Linked DNA regions of Canis lupus familiaris. The main gene of each other region encodes a partner of the protein of the gene in region 3 in a complex. Links are inferred from orthologs where the notes say so. Each region holds a gene or a part of one and is shown on either strand. Other genes may lie near its edges. The genes, in order: PAK1, DCP1A, MAP3K5 and ARHGEF6.

What was found.
Region 1: MAP3K5 (region 3) and PAK1 share a complex: the UniProt entries of both Homo sapiens proteins name them as parts of the cytoplasmic complex. The link is inferred for Canis lupus familiaris from reciprocal best matches to the Homo sapiens genes MAP3K5 and PAK1.
Region 2: MAP3K5 (region 3) and DCP1A share a complex: the UniProt entries of both Homo sapiens proteins name them as parts of the cytoplasmic complex. The link is inferred for Canis lupus familiaris from reciprocal best matches to the Homo sapiens genes MAP3K5 and DCP1A.
Region 4: MAP3K5 (region 3) and ARHGEF6 share a complex: the UniProt entries of both Homo sapiens proteins name them as parts of the cytoplasmic complex. The link is inferred for Canis lupus familiaris from reciprocal best matches to the Homo sapiens genes MAP3K5 and ARHGEF6.

The regions. Positions count from the first base shown.
Region 1 is NC_049242.1:21,494,964-21,499,939, reverse strand, and holds part of PAK1 (serine/threonine-protein kinase PAK 1), read right to left. Parts: intron 3,797-4,976; coding exon 3,622-3,796; intron 1,357-3,621; coding exon 1,293-1,356; intron 1-1,292. UniProt on the Homo sapiens protein: Protein kinase involved in intracellular signaling pathways downstream of integrins and receptor-type kinases that plays an important role in cytoskeleton dynamics, in cell adhesion, migration, proliferation, apoptosis, mitosis, and in vesicle-mediated transport processes.
Region 2 is NC_049241.1:36,946,887-36,951,174, forward strand, and holds part of DCP1A (mRNA-decapping enzyme 1A), read left to right. Parts: intron 1-1,346; coding exon 1,347-1,565; intron 1,566-1,849; coding exon 1,850-1,930; 3' UTR 1,931-4,288. UniProt on the Homo sapiens protein: Necessary for the degradation of mRNAs, both in normal mRNA turnover and in nonsense-mediated mRNA decay. Removes the 7-methyl guanine cap structure from mRNA molecules, yielding a 5'-phosphorylated mRNA fragment and 7m-GDP.
Region 3 is NC_049222.1:29,533,573-29,537,636, reverse strand, and holds the start of MAP3K5 (mitogen-activated protein kinase kinase kinase 5), read left to right. Parts: upstream 1-1,264; 5' UTR 1,265-1,283; coding exon 1,284-1,707; intron 1,708-4,064. UniProt on the Homo sapiens protein: Serine/threonine kinase which acts as an essential component of the MAP kinase signal transduction pathway. Plays an important role in the cascades of cellular responses evoked by changes in the environment.
Region 4 is NC_049260.1:108,083,741-108,089,324, reverse strand, and holds the start of ARHGEF6 (rho guanine nucleotide exchange factor 6), read left to right. Parts: upstream 1-2,179; 5' UTR 2,180-2,461; coding exon 2,462-2,626; intron 2,627-3,829; coding exon 3,830-3,913; intron 3,914-5,584. UniProt on the Homo sapiens protein: Acts as a RAC1 guanine nucleotide exchange factor (GEF).

The DNA.
Region 1 (4,976 bases), on a different chromosome or scaffold from region 3:
TGAGGCAAGCAAAATAATTTCTCCTTGAGGTGTTAACTATTTTATACCAGTTCAGACTCACAAAAGCATGTCTAATAGGAAAAGCACTGAACCAGGAAAAAATAAGACCCACTCCTGTGGGTCTTCAAGGATTAAATTAAACAACAGATGTGAATAACAGATTTAAGCTGTAGAATGCTGTACAAATATATGATTATATAACGCAATACTTTTATTTTCAGAAGTGCTTGGATGTGTAAGAAAGAAAATTGAAACAGAAAATTTCAAAGACTTTATTAAAAACAATGCTTTCATTCAATTAACACTGATAGCTTTCTACAAGTCAGGTGCTTTTTCTTTCTGTTTCTTTTTAATTTTAGCTATTTGGGTAGATTTGTAAAAATCTCATTATTTTGCTTTTTTTCTTTTACAGAGGTATAACTTAACTAAAGTAATCTGCACAACCCTTCAGTGTACAACTTGATGATTTTTCAATATGTACACACCCATGTGTTCACCACTAAGATCATCCCCAAAGGTTTTTCATGCCCCTTCCCAATTCACATGCCCTTCTCAGACACAACCATTAACTATTAACTATTAACATAAATTAGTTTTGCCTGTTTTTGAACTTCATATAAACAAAATCATACAGTTTCTGTTCTTTTAGATCTGGCTTCTTTTGCTCAAAATAATGGCCAATTTTAAGACTTCTCATAGTATAATTTTTTGTCTCTTTCCATAGACATGAGATCTTTAAGACAGAGTTTGTGTCAGATCCATAGCTGTATTCATAGTGCCTAGCACATAAACAGGAACTCAGTTAAGATCTGGTGAGTTCAGTACACTGAGGGCAGCATGCAAGATACAGAGAAGAAATCAGAGAGCAGGAGACATGAATCCTGGCATGCACCTAGAATGACAGGTCCCATTACATTAGCAGAAGGGGTCTGCAGTTCTGAGTCTTCCATTTCACATTAGTGCTGGTAGGTCTCAGTGCCAGGTAAAAAGGGTTAATCTGAAAAAGCAGAGCTGTAATTTGGGAAGCAGGTTTTGTGCTAAGAAGATAAATGCTTTTTGCACTCTCACTGAAGGGTTATTTTTAGCAACATGGTCAGCTAATGGCACGTCTCTCATACTAAGCATAATTTTGCCAAACCTGAAGTCAGCCTAACATAACACCTCCAGATGGGTGAGAGATGAGGTAGAGAAAGAACGAAGTTTATGAGAGGCAAAACAAAAGCAAAATCATATACACCAGCATACCCAATTTTTAAGTAATTTCCCTAGGGAAAGAAAATGCCCCTACTAACCCTTGTCCAATCTTCTCAAACCGTGTATATTTCTTCTTAGGATCGCCCACACTCACTATGCTCCCTTTGAAAGAAACAGAGACCATGAATCATTTTTTTTTCCCAGATCAAGATACAAAACAGGCCCAATATTCCCCCAAACCCTGCAGCTGACAAGGATTAAAGAACTACCTCCAATTCCCAAAGCCACGCTAAGCAGGTCCTTAGCTTTTAGTTTTAAGTTGCAACCAAAAGTTTCATCTCCTTACTGCTTTTATTGACTGTATTTTTAAATTCATTCATTCAATAAACACTCACTTAATATGCTCACATATCATGTACCAAGCCCAATGTTGAATACTAAGAATAAAGGGATAGATGAGACATAGTTAAAACAGTCCCTGCTCTCAAGAAGCTCAATCTCAGGGAGGAGACAGAAAATTAAGCTTAAAGTTCCATGAAAATACAATTGTTGTAATACAGAAAGAGCCTTTCCCGACTAGAGAGGCTTCAGAAAGGAAGTGATTCTGGACGATTTTTATAGGGTAAGTAGGAGTTAGCCAAGGAAAGTTGAGAAGGGGTTACAGTAGGCAGTAATTCAAGTGCAAAGGCATAGAGGTGTGAGAGAGGTTAGGTTTCACAACTTGTACTCTAGAGATGGTGAAACTGAGGCCCACAGAAGGGAACATAATCCCCCCCACCCCAAAGGTCACACAGCAAACTGGTGTCAGGGCCTTATAAGATTAGGAGCTTGGTTTTTGGTCTCCCAGTCCAGTGTGTCCTCCCTAACACTAATTACTAAGATTTGATACTTTTCACATATACTATCTCATATGATTATAAATAAGAAAGGTATTAACATCCCTCTTTAAAAGATGAAAAAAAGGAAGCCCAGAGAACAGTAGGAAATTGCCCAAGACCCATGTCAGTGGCTGGACTGGGGCTTTAACCCAAGTGCCCTTACCTCTCATGCCAGTCTGCTTTTCACAATTTTATGTTCTAAGTATGACTGCTTTAAAATAAATCTGGTTCAGATAAAAACACTATATATAGGAATAAACAGATGGCTAGGTAAGTGGCTTTTCTTGCTTCATCATTTCGTAAGGGCTCTGGGCAAGGGCAACTTGTAAAAGAGTGAAATTAAAAAAAAAAGTCGGGCAGCCCCAGTGGCTTAGCGGTTTAGCGCCACCTTCAGCCTGGGGTGTGATCCTGGAGACTCGGGATCGAGTCCCACATTGGGCTCTGGGCATGGAGCCTGCTTCTTCCTCTGCCTGTGTCTCTGCCTTTCTCTCTCTCTCTCTCTCTCATGAATAAATAAATAAAATCTTTAAAAAAAAATAAAAGTCAAACAAGAATTATCAGGAAGACATTGAGAGCTGCTAAGCTAAAGAATCAGAAACCTAGGCTTTAGAGAGGAGCGCTAGTTTGTGGATTTGGCCAAATTAGTCACATCAAATCCTCTTTAGAAGTAAACAGGTACAAAGGATAAATTAAAGGCTGCATCAGATGATTTTTCTAAGCCCAAAGGTCAATCTAGTCCTTCCTTCTAGTATGAATTCTCTTGCAATTTACTGAAACACAGAAACAACCTACTCTAATATACATACCCCATTTCTGGCCACTAAAGAAAATAAAATGGAAGTTTCCACTTGAAAGCAAGAGGCAGCATGCTCTAATTACAACAGCATAACTTGGTCTCTGACCCCAGCCCTGTCACTGTCTTGGGTAGGGTATTTAGCATCCCTGAGCCTCAAATACATTAAACTGCAAAAAATGAGGATTATAATGTCTGTCTTCACAGGGTTAATATGAGGAATAAAGGAACCAAAAAAAAAAAAAAATCAAGAAAACACCTTGCTTGTCATTTGGTACCTAGATAGGCTCACAAAATGTTAGTTTTCCTTCCCTCTTTTCCTACAACCAAGATGGCAGAGCAGTCTTCTCCTAAGTCAATGGCAAGCATCAATAATCACAGCAATCTTTCCTACCAGGTATGGGTAAGGCCTCAGTCTTTCTCAACACAACATTCCACACTATTCCATTAGATAAAAGCTACTTTTCATCTCCATAACCGATGCCTACGGTTGAGAGATGCCTAGCTCGAAGTGAGCTGTCCACACTCCCCTCACATTTCTATCCTAACACAATATCCAATCAGGGTTGCTGAGACAGAGGAGGTAGGTGCAGGGGCAAGGTGAGAAGCCTACCTTATGTGGCTAAGATATCGAGCATAGCCAGCCAGCCACATAGACCAAGTCTAGGACTAGGATCCTTTTAGCAATGTTTTTCCATCTTTGTGCTCATTCAGTCACACACAAAACGCAAGTTCAGACAGCTACAAAGTGCTTACGTAATTTCTCCAAGATCTCCTCATCAGACATTTTGGGCTTCTTCTTCTGCTTCTCAGTATTCCGAGTCAGAGCATCTGGTGGAGTAGTATTATTCTCAGTAGGTGAAATAGGAGATGTAGCCGCATCCCGAGTTGGAGTAACAGGAAGTGGTTCAATCACAGACCGTGTATATACCTGTATTGTTGGTAAAAGAATTTGGTAAAGACAGTCTTTGTTAGCACAGAAAACACTCAGGAGCCTCTTATAGAGGTGTATTAGAACACCCACAGCAGAGCAAATCCCAATAAACTCATCTCTCCTCCTAGGTCAAAATCTATGTTCCTCCCCTCTGTGCCCAGGCCTATCCCATGTGGGTGAAATGGCCTTCCTTGTTCTCACTATACACAACACAAATTAGGAATTAACAATGTCTTTTTAGAAAGGAGTGCTATGAAGATCAAATTTATTAATTCATTTGTTCATTATTTACTGCCTTTCTGACACCTGCCCAGAACTATGTTAAGCATTATTAATACATATATATTTCCTCTGTTTTTGAGAAGTTCCTAGTTTAGTGAGAATTTTTTTTTTTTTAAACATTTTTATTTATTTATGATAGTCACAGAGAGAGAGAGAGGCAGACACACAGGCAGAGGGAGAAGCAGGCTCCACGCACCAAGAGCCTGACGTGGGATTCGATCCCGGGTCTCCAGGATCGCGCCCTGGGCCAAAGGCAGGCGCCAAACCGCTGCGCCACCCAGGGATCCCCGAATTTTTTTTTTTAAATGAACATGCTTGCAAACTGAAAAAAAGGCCATATCAATGTGAACTACCTTGACAAATCTCCAATTTTGAATCTTATTTTCATTAGGGTGACTTTGTGACCTATAGAAAGGGTGATTCCACAGATCCTGTTTGTAAGGTCTAATCCTAAAAGGTCATCTAAACCCCCTGGATTTTCCTCACACACTCTCCTATAGTCAGGCAACCAACTTCTGCTTGAATACCTTTCAGCCAGCCTTTTTTTTTTTTTTTTTGTATTATCACAGAGTTTAAGCCCTAGATCATTCTTTCATTATAAAGCTCTTGTCATAAACAAAGTCCAAACAAAGAAACACTAAAAGAGTATCATCTGATGACAGGTCAGTGCTCAGTGATGCTAAATCAAATAAAAAGCATGGGGACCAGATTGTGCAAAGTGAGGGCAGAGGGACTGTGGCTATGCTGAGATGCAAGAACCTCAAAAGAAGTTAAATAAAAATCGCTGCCAATATTCAACAACAAAATGCACTCCTGATGTCCAGCATATTAATAGCACTAATGTATTTATAAATTCCTATGGGTCTTTCAGTTTCATCAATGGTGTTCTAAGAGG
Region 2 (4,288 bases), on a different chromosome or scaffold from region 3:
TTTTTTTTTTAAGATTTCATCTATTTATTTATGAGAGAGAGGCAGAGACATAGGCAGAGGGAGAAGCAGGCTCCATGCAGGGAGCCCGATGCTGGACTTGATCCCGGGACTCCAGGATCACACCCTGAGCTGAAGGCAGGCACTAAACCGCCGAGCCACCCAGGTGTCCCTGATGGAGGAATTATTAAAAATGCTGACTATTTCTGGTTTAGTATATTCTGATGGTTAGCTGCTATTAGCATAGAAGCACCTCTAAATGGAGGAAGGAGGTAGATGTTTTATTTGTAAGAAGCTGTATCCTGATACCCGTAGCAGAATGATAAGTATATTGGACACTACAAAAGAAACTAATGCTTCATGCAACTGGATTTTTTTTTTCAAGATCTTATTTATATATTTGAGAGAGAGCAGAGTGGGGAGGGGCAGAAAGAGAGGGAGAGGATCTCAAGCAGACTCTGCACTAAGTGTGGAGCCCAACTCAGGGCTCCATCTCACAACCCTAATATTACAACCTGAACCAAAACCAAGAATAGACATTCAACTGATTACAACCTGAGCCAAAACCAAGAATAGACATTCAACTGACACATCCAGGCACTCCTTTTCTTTTTCTTTTTCTTTTTTTATCTGAAGTAAAATTTTACTGCAGTGAAATACATATAAAATGCAGATTCTGTTTTATGAGTTTTAACAAACATAATATCCCTTGGGGTAACCATTCAATCAATATATGTAAGATTTCTATCACCCCAGAAAGTCCCTCATGCCCTCTTCCAATCATTTCCCTGCTCCCCATATAAAACTTTGCAGTTTTGGGGATCCCTCGGTGGCTCAGCGGTTTGGCGCCTGCCTTCGGCCCAGGGCGTAATCCTGGAGACCCGGGATCGAGTCCCACATCAGGCTTCCTGCATGGGATCTGCTCCCTCTGCCTGTGTCTCTGCCTCTCTCTCTCTCTCTCTCTCTGTGTCTCTCATGAATAAATAAATAAAATCTTTAAAAAAAAAACTTTGCATTTTTAATTTATCATAGGATTTTTTTTTTAAGATTTAATTTTTTATTTGAGAGAGAACATGCTTGTGTGCATGAGCAGGGATGGGACAGAGGGAGAAGGAGACTCCCCACTGAGCAGGGAGCCCAACGAAGGCCTCAAGGATCATGACCTGAGCCAAAGGCAGACGCTTAACCAACTAAGCCATGCAGACACCTCTTATCATAGGATTGTTCTTACTGTGCATACCCTGTGTGATCATACTTCTTTTGTGTGATGATCAGACTTGGCTTCCCAAGAAACAGACCCTTCATCCTTTAGCCGACAAGCTTCATTCATGACCATTGTTGCCCTGCAGGTCACAGGCCCCACACTGGTTACTGCAACAACCATGGCAGTGTCTTCAGTCCTGCTGTCCCCGAGTGTTTTCCAACAGACAGTCACAAGGTCCACAGACCTCGAGAGAAAAGCAAGCGCCCCTTCTCCACTGACTGTTGGAACATCAGAAAATCAGAGAAAGCCTTCCATTATTCTCAGCAAGTCCCAGCTCCAGGATACATTAATACATCTAATAAAGGTATGCAGACCATCCCAGCAGTTGAATCTGTAAACTTCTGTTCTTTAATTTTAAAAAACATAAATTCTTTTTAGAAAACCAGTTCATAAGGTGAATTGAAGACTAGCGGGACTGATGTTTCTCTCTTTCTGAGCATATACTCCCAATGGAAAAGTATCTGAATGAATTCCAAAATATTGATTGCAGCTGTCTCTGGGTGATGGGATTCTTTGGGTAGTTAGTTTTATAAATCATTTATACAGTAAGTTCTTCTGAGGTAAATGAAACATTACCATCTCTTCCAGAATGATTCCAGCTTCCTCAGTACACTTCACGAAGTCTACTTGCAGGTTCTGACCAAGAACAAAGACAACCACAACTTATGACTGGAGCAGAATAAATCCGAAGGCAGAATGTCGACCTCAGAAACGAATAGGCCTCATCATGGGAACTTCTAAACAGAACATTGAGTTTTGAGAATCCTGAAATTGAGCCTATGAGAAAGAGACTCATTCCTTAAGAATGTTTTCCAAGTGACGTTCTCAGTGATAATGGAGGTTTCACTGTGAAGCATCACCAGCAGACCTTTGTTTTGACAAAAACAAAACAAAACAAAAACAAAAAAAAAAAAACATTAAGTTGTGTGGGTGTTTTCATCAGCTGTAAGAAGGGATGTGAAATCAGGAGCCTGGTTTTCAGCTTGCTTTCACTCTCAAGGTCATAGGGAGGGGAGGGGTCACCAGCCTTGTAGCAGAGTTCAGCCCGCACCCCTTCCCCTGCTTCTCCCCCCTAGAAATTTGAGCCTTAGGCTGATAGTCAAGTTCTGAACAGAGCAGTAGTCAGCTCTATGCAAAGTAGCTTTGAGTTTTAAGGATCAGAGTTTAAGTTGGCAAATTAGGAATGATTTGTTCAAGTGAAGTATATTTTTATGAATGCCCCATTTGGGCCTTAAAAGTTCTGAAATTTCTCAATTGTGTTTTGTTTTGTTTTTTTAAGTGTCCCCAGAGCTGCCATGCTGCGGGCTCCCAGGGCAGTGATACCACGTGACTAGGGCCTCCTCCGGCTCTGTGATGGTATGGGAGTAGCATGTCACACCTTTGAAGCAAAGGCTGGGACTGGTAAAGACTGAATTTGATCAGAAACCTTCACTTTACGTTAAACTATTGAGTGGTTTCGAAAATGTTAAGTTTTGTGTGAAGTGTAGCCTTATTTTCCTTTTCTGTCTAAACACAGAAGTCATTGTTGATTGTTTTCCTTAACACTTGGCAAAAAGGACCAGTGGACCAATCTAGCAAAGCCATTCTGGTTCCATTCCTCGAGTCTACTGAGAGTAGTTTTAAAGCTATGCAGAAAAGGGAGCTGTTATTCATACTGCCCTTATTTTATTATAGAATATGGAGTTAAAAACAAAGTGTGAAATTCAGAACTTTACCAATGTATTCCTAGGCTGTGAGTACTTTTGCAGCCCAAAGTGTGAAAATATGTAAAGATGCTTTGTTATGCTGCTATTGACCTGCCATGATTTATATTTATTCTTTTATGGCATGTAATGGTGATTAGTAATATTTTAATGTAGACTTTGATTTATTTCAGCAATAGTAATTTTAAGATACTCTTTGAATGAAAGTGTCTTCGTTTCTATGATGCAGATCATTTTGTAGTATTTAACCAATTAAGATGCACTGCTTACTTTTCTGAGCACTATTTAATGATGGGGTAAAAACCCAGTTGGCTCAACCAGCTAGCATAAGGGTGAGCTGTGAATAATGCTGATGGATGTGGTGGTTCCTTGCGAACAGTCATTTAAGCTTTAATGGTAACTCAATCATAAATCGATAGATTTTTTTTTTTTTCCTAGCTGAGATTTTAGAAAATTACTTGTGAATTACATACTTGTTTTAGTTTGGTCTTAGTTTTTTTAGCATAAAGAATACTTTGTTTGATTGGCATTTGTTACTCTAAATATGCTTCCTGGGCAGCTTTTCTGCTTGTCAAATTTAGTGTCTTTTCTTGCTGTCTACGTAGTTATTTGTGAATTGTACAGAAGTCAGGGAAGCTTGTAATTTCTCTTACTCAATGGGGAAGAGTTCGTTGTCAAAGGTAGTGTGTGAATCCAGCAACCAAAAATGAATTGCTTGTACATCACCCAGGAAGGAAAATGTTGAAGTAAGATCCAGAGTGTTGCTGACACCAGGAGATGGTGTCGGGGGGAACCATGTGACTGTTCTCAGAAAACAGGTTTCATCACACCCCCAGTGAGGTTTCCATGGGCTTTGGTACATGGAAGAATCAAGGGATTCTTGTTGTAATAGACGTATGACTTGAAATGACTTGAGTATGTGTAATATTACAAGAGAGTTAAGAGAGAATATCCTAAAGAGGGTCTGTAATCAAATCTGTTAATTTTCACCCTTTAATCCAAGGAATGAACATGATAGAGAATCTATAAGTTTTCCTTAGTGGGAAAATAAACTTTGAAGTGCCCAAGTCATGGAGACTTGAAAAGGGTCAACCTGTTTCAACTCCCAAATTTACATATTCAAAGGATTTACTTAAAATTCAGAAGCCAGAAGTTCACCGTCACAATTACCAGAAGGTTCAGGCCAGAATGAGTCCCTGAAAAGTTGGGCCAAGCCTGACTAGTCACAGTCGGATGACCCTGGCCCGAAAGTCACAGTTCAGTTGCCTTACTCCTGGGTCAGACTTCCTATCCAGAACCTCATGCTAGCTTAGATTGCATGTTG
Region 3 (4,064 bases):
CATTAACGATAACATTGCCAGTGCAATTTTTTTTTTAATGGAAAGTAGCGGAGGCCGACCTGATAAGTTGTGCCAGCCACGGTCGGGAATCGATCGCCCGTTGCCGTCCAATATAGGCCCCCGCGGCGGGGCGCTAGAGGAAATCCTCCGGCCTTGCGCAACGCAGGCCCCTCGGCGCAGCCCAGCGCTGGAGCGCCGCGCGCCGAACCAGACCGCGCGCAGGGCGAGGCCGCCAGGCGCCGGACGGGGGCGCCCTGGCTGCGGGGACCGGGGCGAGAGCCTCCCGATAGCTCCGGAGCCCCGAGTGTTCTCCGGAGAGACTTTTTTTTTCTTTTTTTTCTTTTTCGTGCGCCGTGCTGCCTTCGCGCGCGCTCCAGGCTTTGGCCGACTCCGGGTCTTCTTAGGTGGGGGTCCGGTGGGTGACGGCGGAGCACTCCCGCCCCGCGCCGAGCCCGGGGCCTGGCCGAGGTCCGGGAGCCGCGGCGCGGCCGGTTTCGTCCCGGCTCCAGCTTCCCAGCAGCGCCCTCCCCCGGGGCGGGCCCTGACTCTCGGGGCCGCGACGAGTGGGCGGCAGAAGCCGGTGGCCCCCTGGGCGAGCGGCTGCGGGGAGCGGCGAGACCCAGCGGCGAGGCTGGCGCTGGGACGCAGCGGCCGCGGCGCGCTCGGGCGAGAAACGAGGCCAGGGGAGGAGGAGGAACTAGAGCCCATGAAGGGGAGCTGCCGCCGAGGAGGGAGGCGGGTCCTTTCGGCTGCGGCGGCTGCTGTTCCGGGACGCAGCCCGGGGAGCCTGCTCGCCCGAGAGGTGCTGGCCAGGTAGCTCCCCACCCAGCGGGCGCCCTCCCCGGCCCCTCCCAGCGCCCGGCACGCAAGGAGCGGGAGCCGCGCTCCGGGGGGCCAGGGCGCTCCGCACGGCGAGCGCGGCGCCCTTGAGCTGCACGGCGGCGCGGGCTCGCGAGCCGACTTGTCTGCCGGCAGCAGAAGGAAGCGCGGTCCCTTCCCGCTCACCCTGGCGTCCCCACCGCTCGTACTCTACACCCTGCCTCGGGCGAGCGGCGCGGCCACGGAGGCGCCGAGGAGGGGCGAGCCGCCGCCGGGTAGCGGCGTGCCCCCGGGAGAGAGGGCGCCGGAGAGGAGGCGGCGGCGCGGTGCGGAGGGCGCGACGCGCGATGGCAGCTGCTTAGCCCGGCGCGCGCGGAGCAGCCCGGAGCTGTGGCTGGCCAGACGGTGCGGCTGGGCTGGGGGGGGACGCCGCCGCCGCCGCCGCCGCAGCCCGGCCGGGAGAGATGAGCGCCGAGGCGGGCGAGGGCATCACTTTCTCCGTGCCACCCTTCGCCGAGGGCGGCAGCTGCCGGAGGGGAGGAGCGGCGGCGCCGGCCGAGGGCCCGGAGAGCCAACTACCACCGCCGCCGCCGGGCAGCTTCTGGAACGTGGAGAGTGCCGCCGCCCCGGGCGCCGGCTGTCCGGCTGCCACCTCTGCGAGCAGCGCCACCCGGTGCCGGGGCAGCTCTGGTGGCGGAGGCGGCCGACGGACCACGGTGGCTTATGTGATCAACGAAGCGAGCCAGGGGCAGCTGGTGGTGGCCGAGAGCGAGGCCCTGCAGAGCCTGCGGGAGGCGTGCGAGACGGTGGGCGCCACCCTGGAGACCCTGCATTTTGGCAAACTGGACTTCGGGGAAACCACGGTGCTGGACCGCTTTTACAACGCAGGTGCGTGTGCAGCCCCTTCCGCGTCCTCCACGGTCAGGGGCCACGTTCTCCCTGGCCGCCCGCAGCGGGGCAAGGTTTTCCTAGGCGGCAGGCGTGCTTCCTCCTTACCCACTTCTTGCCCCACCTTAGGGGCAGCGAGCGGCGCTGCGTGACTGCTCCGGGCGCTCGCTGCCCCCGGGGAAGAGTGGGTGCGGGTGCAAGATCCTGTGTACTTGTGCTAGACCGACTGGGTCACCCGCCGGCCCGCGCTGGAGCCGGTCCGGAGGCCCCTCCTCAAGAACTTTTCACTTCTAAAGTAGTGCGAGATAGTGGCCCCATCAGCCTTTGTCCATTTGGGGTCTTGGTTTCTCTTTTGCTAGGTTTGGCCCATTTCTCCCTTCTATATATACACCTGTGACTATTTTAGATGACGCTTTCATTTTTTCTCTGTGTGGTGTTGGGAGAACAGGAACCACGCAGCCCGCTGCTCTCAGAGTCTATCTATACGCATTTGCATGTCGTGTCGTGATCTTCCCAAGTCCTTTCACTCGAACATATTTAGTAGCTTGGATGTTCTAGTCTTAACCGATTTGAACTTCTAAGGAATTACTTCCAAAAGCAGTAACCTTGTCACTTGAACTAAACTTTCGTGGTGTCTTTGTTAGGATTTTGGTGGGAGAATATTATTACCCCATATACCACAATGAGCTGGAAAGTACATAATTTAACATTGTTTAAAATATTTACTATTTTAATAACTAAAAATTAGTTTGTTTAAAGGGAGTGCCACCAGCCCCGGTGGCGCAGCGGTTTAGCGCCGCCTGCAGCCCGGGGCGTGATCCTGGAGACCCTGGATCGAGTCCCACGTCAGGCTCTCTGCGTGGAACCTGCTTCTCCCTCTGCCTGTGTCTCTGCCTCTCCCTGTCTCTGTGTCTCTGAATAAATAAATAAAATCTTAAAAGAATAAATAAAATGTAAAATTAAAAAAATAGAGTGCCAATGTAATCCATAAAAAAGTTATCTTTTCAAGTATCACATATTTCAGAAACTGTCATTGCAGTTCTAGTGATTGATGCAATTAGCTATTTGCTTGCTAAAGTTGGGAATAATATTAACATGCTATTGAAGTTAACCTTTAGTACCCTGTACAACCAAATATGAGAACATACATGTATTTATTTTTTCTAAGTGTGGGCGGAAAATTTAACAGTGGTTTCAAACAATAAGATTCTTGCATTTGTGATCACGTAAAAGGTTTTATATTCCAAACTTGCTTTCAGTTCTGATTCTCTTCAGTCTCTTCAAAACACCTGAAGTAGGCTTATGTCAGCTTTGGAATTCAGCCAAAACTGAATATTTTTAAGAACCAGAAGAACTTCATGTTAAAGAAGTCAGACTAAATAAACCAGGGCTTTCTGGTGCTGGTATTTTTTTTACAGTCTTGGTCTTCAGAACTGAACCTGAGTATGATATATTATAGCTCAGTTTTTTGTGTGGCTTGCTATAAAAATTGCATAAATGTAACTTTTCTAAAAATTATAGCACTCTTATTTTTGGATTATAGTTTGGAAGAAACTTCAAAGAACTGAAAGATATGTGAGGAAAACACCCAAGCAAATACTGAGCCTATTTTTATTGCTCTGATAGATTCTGTATTTTTTATAGGACTCTAAAAAAATAAAAAATCTTAAACTCTAGGCTAATTTGGAAGATAGTTTCCTAACATGGCACAGTTACTGTTTGTTCTCCAAATAACTGTTTGTGGGAAAGAGACAAAGGAAGACTACAAGGGGACCGACATTTGAACTGTATCTTTAATCCCCCAAACAAGCCCATTAAGGAAGTACTTCTTATTCTTCTCAGATGAGGAAACCAAGGACTTTATAACTGGCCTAGACTTACAGGTAGTAACTGATCAATGCAGGGTTCCATTTCAGGTGGCTGACTCTAAAAGGTCATCTTTGCTGCTGCCTCCATTTAGCTGGGCTGATTTACTCTATCTTGGAATCATGTGATAGAGAGCTGGCGGGGACCTGGTGAGCCATTGAGGTGCAGCGTGAATCATGGGGAGGACACTTTGGGAAGACTCGTTTCTGAGCCATTCTGAGCCATCTCTCTCCCATCCATTGCTTCATTCAACCTGAGCAGGCCCCAGTTTAACCCCTACTTATGCTCATGGTAATGAACTCTGAGCCCTGTCATTGAGTCTGAAGATGTGACCAAATGAAGATGGTATGTTTTGTCCAAATCCTTTGTTTTTCTCAACTGACGGCTGCCAACTTGGATGGTAGTAGAACTTTTCTTCTGATTTCAGAGGGAGCGCTTGCTCCTCCTCCACCAGGGAAACAGTTTTCTGGGAAGGGCCAGATGGTAAATAT
Region 4 (5,584 bases), on a different chromosome or scaffold from region 3:
CTATTGATAGACAAAACAACATGAATGAATCTCAAAATGATGATGCTGAGTGAAAAAAAAAAAACAGAGAAAAGGAAGTACCACACTGTATGCTTCCATTTATATAGGATTTTAGAAAATGTGAACTAATCTGCAGGGGCTGAAAGCAGATTGGAAGGGAAGGTAGGGAAGAAGGGACATCTTTGGGGGTGATGGAAAGTTTTACTTGCATTGTGTTTGATTGTATTGCAGGTGTATATGTCAAATTTAATTAAATTGGTCATCTTAAATAGGTGCATAATAATATGCATCAATTATATTTCAGTAAAAGAAATCAGCAAGGAAAAATTTTTGTTTTAAGACATAAGAGTTTATTCGTTCATTCATGCATTCCTCCAGCATTTTTAATTTTATTTATCTTTAAAGATTTTATTTATTTATTCATGAGAGACACACAGAGAGAGGGGCAGAGACACAGGCAGAGGGAGAAGCAGGCTCCATGCAGGGAGCCCGACGTGGGTCTCGATCCAGGGACTCCAGGATCACGCCCTGGGCCAAAGGCAGGCGTTAAACCGCTGAGCCACCCAGGGATCCCTCCTTCAGCATTTTTTAAAAAAGATTTTATTTATTTGAGAGAGAGCAGGAGCAGGGAGAGGGGAGAGGGAGAAGGGGGAGGGATGGAGGGAGAAAGAGAAGCAGACTCCTGACTGAGCAGGGAGCCTGACCCTAGGCTCTATCTCAGGACCCCAGGATCATGACCTGAGCCAAAGGCAGACAACCAATTGAGCTACTCAGATACCCCTCATTCAGCATTGTAGAATATCTACTATGTACCTGATCCTGCTGGGAACAGTGTTAAACAAAACAAACAAGACGTCTACTCTAGGGAGGTTACATTCTGGTGGAGGAGACATATCAACAAGTAAATAGTAACGTGATAAGTGTTAGGAACATGGCAAGAAGAGGAAGCTTTGAAAACATTTAGCAGGATTATCTAAGCTGATCATTTGGTAGTAGATGTCTAGAGCTGTGTTGAGAAGGATTCGGAAGCTTAGCAGGATCCCCTACTTGAGGAGGGGCAGTGACTGATGGGGAGGAGCATGCATTTGCCAGTTTAAGGCTATGCTGTTCTCATTGGTCTTCTTACAAGTTTCCCAATAGTATGACTATTTCAACTGGTTGTGAAAAGATCTCTTGTTTTAGACCAGGTTTGTTTTTTTTCAGAGCAGCATTTTTAAAAAAGGATTTTATTTATTTATTTGAGAAAGAGAGAGAGACAGCAAGAGAGAGTACAAGTGGGGGGTGGGTGGGGAGAGGGACGGAGAAGCAGACTCCCCACTGAGCAGGGAGCCCGACATGGGGCTCAATCCCAGGACCCTGGGATCATGACCCGAGCTGAAGGCAGATGCTTAACCAACTGAGCCACCCAGGCGCCCCTAGAGCACCATTTTTAACGCAAAGTGTTTCTTGTTGGGGAAGCATCAACTTTCCAGACTATAGTATAGACAGAGGACAAGTGCTCTTTTGTTCTCAAAAGTTCTGTTTTCAAGTGTTTTATACCCTCTCATAGGACTGTGTCAGAGCCTTTGCTAGGGGTACTGCAGCTGGATTGTGTAGTGGAACCAGGTCCAGAAAAAGAATTGCTAAAGAATGCAAGTAAACAGGATGTCAGATGTTATCCTTAGCCTATTTCCCTAAACATAGCTTTTTGGCTGCAAAGTAAAATGCCATTCTTCTAGCTTCTGCTTGTACACAGTGATGGCTGACAGCAGGCACCGTCTTCATTTGCTTGGCACGTTATCACCATGCAATTCAACGTGTTTTACAAGGGATGATCATGACACACCATCTCTGTGAGACAGTATGAGGACATCCGGCCATTTCTTGGAAGAATTTTCTCAGCCTACCTTCTTCATGAGCCTCAGATCTATGTGACCTAAGAGCCAGTTGGCATCTTCCTCCTGACAGCAGCCAGATTTTCACTGGGGCTAGACTATTTATTGACAGTGTTTCCCCAGACTGGCCCATGAGTGTCTCATTGCCAAAGTCCCCTGTGTTTTCCAAGAGCACTTGCTTCATTCTCTCTCCTCCCTCCCCAGCATCCTCCTCACTTCCTTCCCTTACAGCTTCTTGCACTGTTGGGTTTTTTTTTTGGGGGGGGGGGCTGTGTTTATGTGTGTTTCTTCTTCTTTTTTTTTTAACCCTGGTAAGTTAGCTTTGCAGGCTTGGAAAACAAAATCCAGCATTATCCAAAGATTTTTATTCTTTCTATTTCTACATCTTTTAAGTGTGATCTCTGTGGCTTTAAGATCCTGTAATTGGAGTGGGGTCGCGTTATCTAAGAAAGTCGTTGAAACGCTTTGCTCTGCAAGCCCCAGAAGAGAACTTATAAAAACGGAAGGCAGTAGCAGATGCAATTACGGATGTGGCTTAGTCCTTGCAGCTGCCCTGGGGAGCTGTGCAGAGCATACAGTCCTCAGCGATGAATCCAGAAGAGCGAATCGTGACATGGCTTATATCCTTGGGAGTTTTAGATTCCCCCAAAAAGACCATCTGTGATCCAGAGGAGTTCTTGAAGTCCTCGCTGAAAAATGGGGTAGTGCTGTGCAAACTGATCAACAGACTTAGGCCTGGCTCTCTAGAAAAGGTAAGGGAAATGGGCATTCTCTTTAGGATTGCTTACCACCAGAGAGCAGCAATAATGTAACCCTTGAGATGTTCTGTTGCCTGGATCATGGGACTCTGCCACTTGAATCTCTTCCTAGGAGTTTGGCATTCTGTCTTGTTTTTGTAGCTTGAAAAGCTCAGAAAATGAAAGGTTATCCGTTAGCACTTGGCCCCCAAATATAGTAAAATCATGATACAATGTTGGTGCCAGGGGACAAGGAGAAAATACTCGTATCATTTGCTCTGTCATAGAGATATGTGTTATTACTCTCTGTGTACCAAGGGCATATTTTGAACTTGGGGTATATATGAATTGGTGTAATAACGGGATGATTTATAATAGATATTGATGGTGTTTATTGACAGTTTGACTAAAATCAATGTTGATTTGCTTCTCAAAGAAATAAAATATCCTTTGAAACAGAGGCAACCAGAAGAAATAATCCAAAATGTCAGAAAAGGTTTGTTAAAACAATAGAAACCAGATATATGTTTTGTATGCAACATGTGTTCAAAGTGAAACTAACCTTACTCTCTTTTAAAAAGCCAAAAGTTTTAATGTTGGAAATCCATATTCACAAGGATAGATAATTTCTAAAGTAGGCACTTTAAGTTTAAAGGTTGAATCCTACAGCTTTCTTAAGGTTAGCAGGGGACGTGACTATGAGCATAACGTGAGTGCTTTTGCCTTCTTGTACTGGTTGGTATTTTTATTGAGCAAATTGGTTTACTTATAATTTCTCTGAAACTTGAAAAACAGTGCTGAAGTGGTAGTGCAACATGCAGAACTGTAACCAAATGTAACAAACAGTAAATGGGAGGATAGAGTGTTAATAAATTATCATGGGGAGGAGGGAGCAAGAAAATAACTTAAAAGCAAGAACCAAGGTCAAAACACAGCCTGGATCTAATTTGCTGTCTCCGCACTTTGGCTGAAGGCTAAAAAATAGTTTGTCAGTAGAGATAGGTGGTTTGGGACTGGAAGTTTGGTGACATTTGAAACAGACCGACCGTTTAGACTTTTACATCACTTCCTCCAGTGGTTATTTCTCTTCCTGGATTGACAGCAATGTGGCCCCTGCCTTAAAAAGCTTACCTATCTAGTTATCAGAAAATGAGGACTATGGTGTATGCTTGGCATGCGATAACAGGGTTCAAGTGACATTTGGCTATGTTTTTCTAGTACTGTTTGGAGCCCCAAACCGAAGCTGACTGCCTCAACAACATCAGTGACTTCCTGAAAGGATGTGCAGCCCTTCAAGTGGAGGTAAGCCCACCCGGGATGCCTTGCCTTGCTAGTGAAAATGGTGTTGTACTAAAAGTACTGGGTTGTTTCTGACTGTTACACAGGGGTAGCATTTTATGGAGATCATGGTTAAGATTGGTGGTCTCCAGTGGTGGCTGGTTAGTTTGTCTTTTCCAGAAACCAGTTCCAAAACAAAATGAAACAAAACAAAATCAAAACTCAGAATATGCTATTTTTTAATACAGCATCCGTGCCCTGAAAGCAGGCTTCCAGTGACAAAGGCTGTGTAATGTGCCTCCCTCCTGGGAGGAACCAAAAGCAGGCCATTGGCCGCTCTAGGGGGTCATAGTAATCCCCCCCCTCCGAGTTGGGAAGAGATGAAAGTATACTGTCACTTTTTTCCTATTAACACTTTAGAACAGAGGCCATGAAAAGCCAAGAGAGCCTGGCCCTGTGGTAGAAATTGTATATTAACTTACATTGCACTATTTTATATCATATAGATCCTTACAGTATATTTGGGGGTATTGCTGCAAAGGAGGTGATACTTTTGTCTGAGTGTCCAATTATGTAACTTCTTTGTTCCTCAGTGTGTGTGTGTGTGTGTGTGTGTGTGTGTGTGTGTATTACATCTTTATTTGCAGAAGCAAAATCATGGAAACAACATCCATAACTAGCAATGGGAGAATAGTCAAATAAATTATAGTACATTCAAATGATGCTGAAGTCTTATACATTCATTTAAAAAAGATTGTAGGTTTTTAAAATGGAAGTATAGTTATATTGATATTAATATTAGTTGATATTAATATTAACTAATATTATATTAGTTTTAGATGTACAATGTGTGATTCAACATTCTATACATTACACAGTGCCCACCATAGTAAGTGTAGCTACCATTTGTCACCATACAATGTTACTTCAATATTATTCTTTAAAGATTTATTTATTTATTTATTTATTTATTTATTTATTTATTTATTTATAGAATGCGTGGGGGAGGGGCAGGGGAGAGAGAGAATCCTGAAGCAGACTCTCCTCCAAATGTGGAGCCCACTGCGGGGCTTTGTGTGGGTGGGGTTGGACACGAGGCTTGATGCCAGGACTTGGAGATCATGACCTGAGCCAAAATCAAGGGTCGGCCACCTAACCAACTGAGCCACCCAGGCGACCCTACAATATTATTGACTGTATTCCCTCTGTTTTATTTGTCATCCCCATGACTTACTTATTGTAACATTGGAGGTTTGTGCCTATTAGTCGCCTTCATCTATTTCATCCATCCTCTCAGTCCCCTTCTTTCTGGCAACCACCAGTGTGTTCTGTTTCTATGAGTCTGTTTCTATTTCATTTTGTTTTGTTTTTTAGATTCCACACATGAGTGAAATGGTATGGTAATGGCCTTTCTTTGTCTGACTTACTTCACTTAGCATAATACCCCATCCATGTTGTCCCAAATGGCAAGATTTCATTCATTTTTTTTATATGATTGAGTGCATGTATACCATATTTGTGTCTGTTCATCTCTGAATGGATGCTTGGGTGGCTTCCATATCTTAGCTATTGCAAATAATGCTTTAATAACCATACAGATGCATATTTTTTAAGGATTTTATTTATTTATTCATGAGACATACACACATACACACAGAGAGGAGAGAGAGAGAGAGAGAGAGAGAGAGAGAGAGA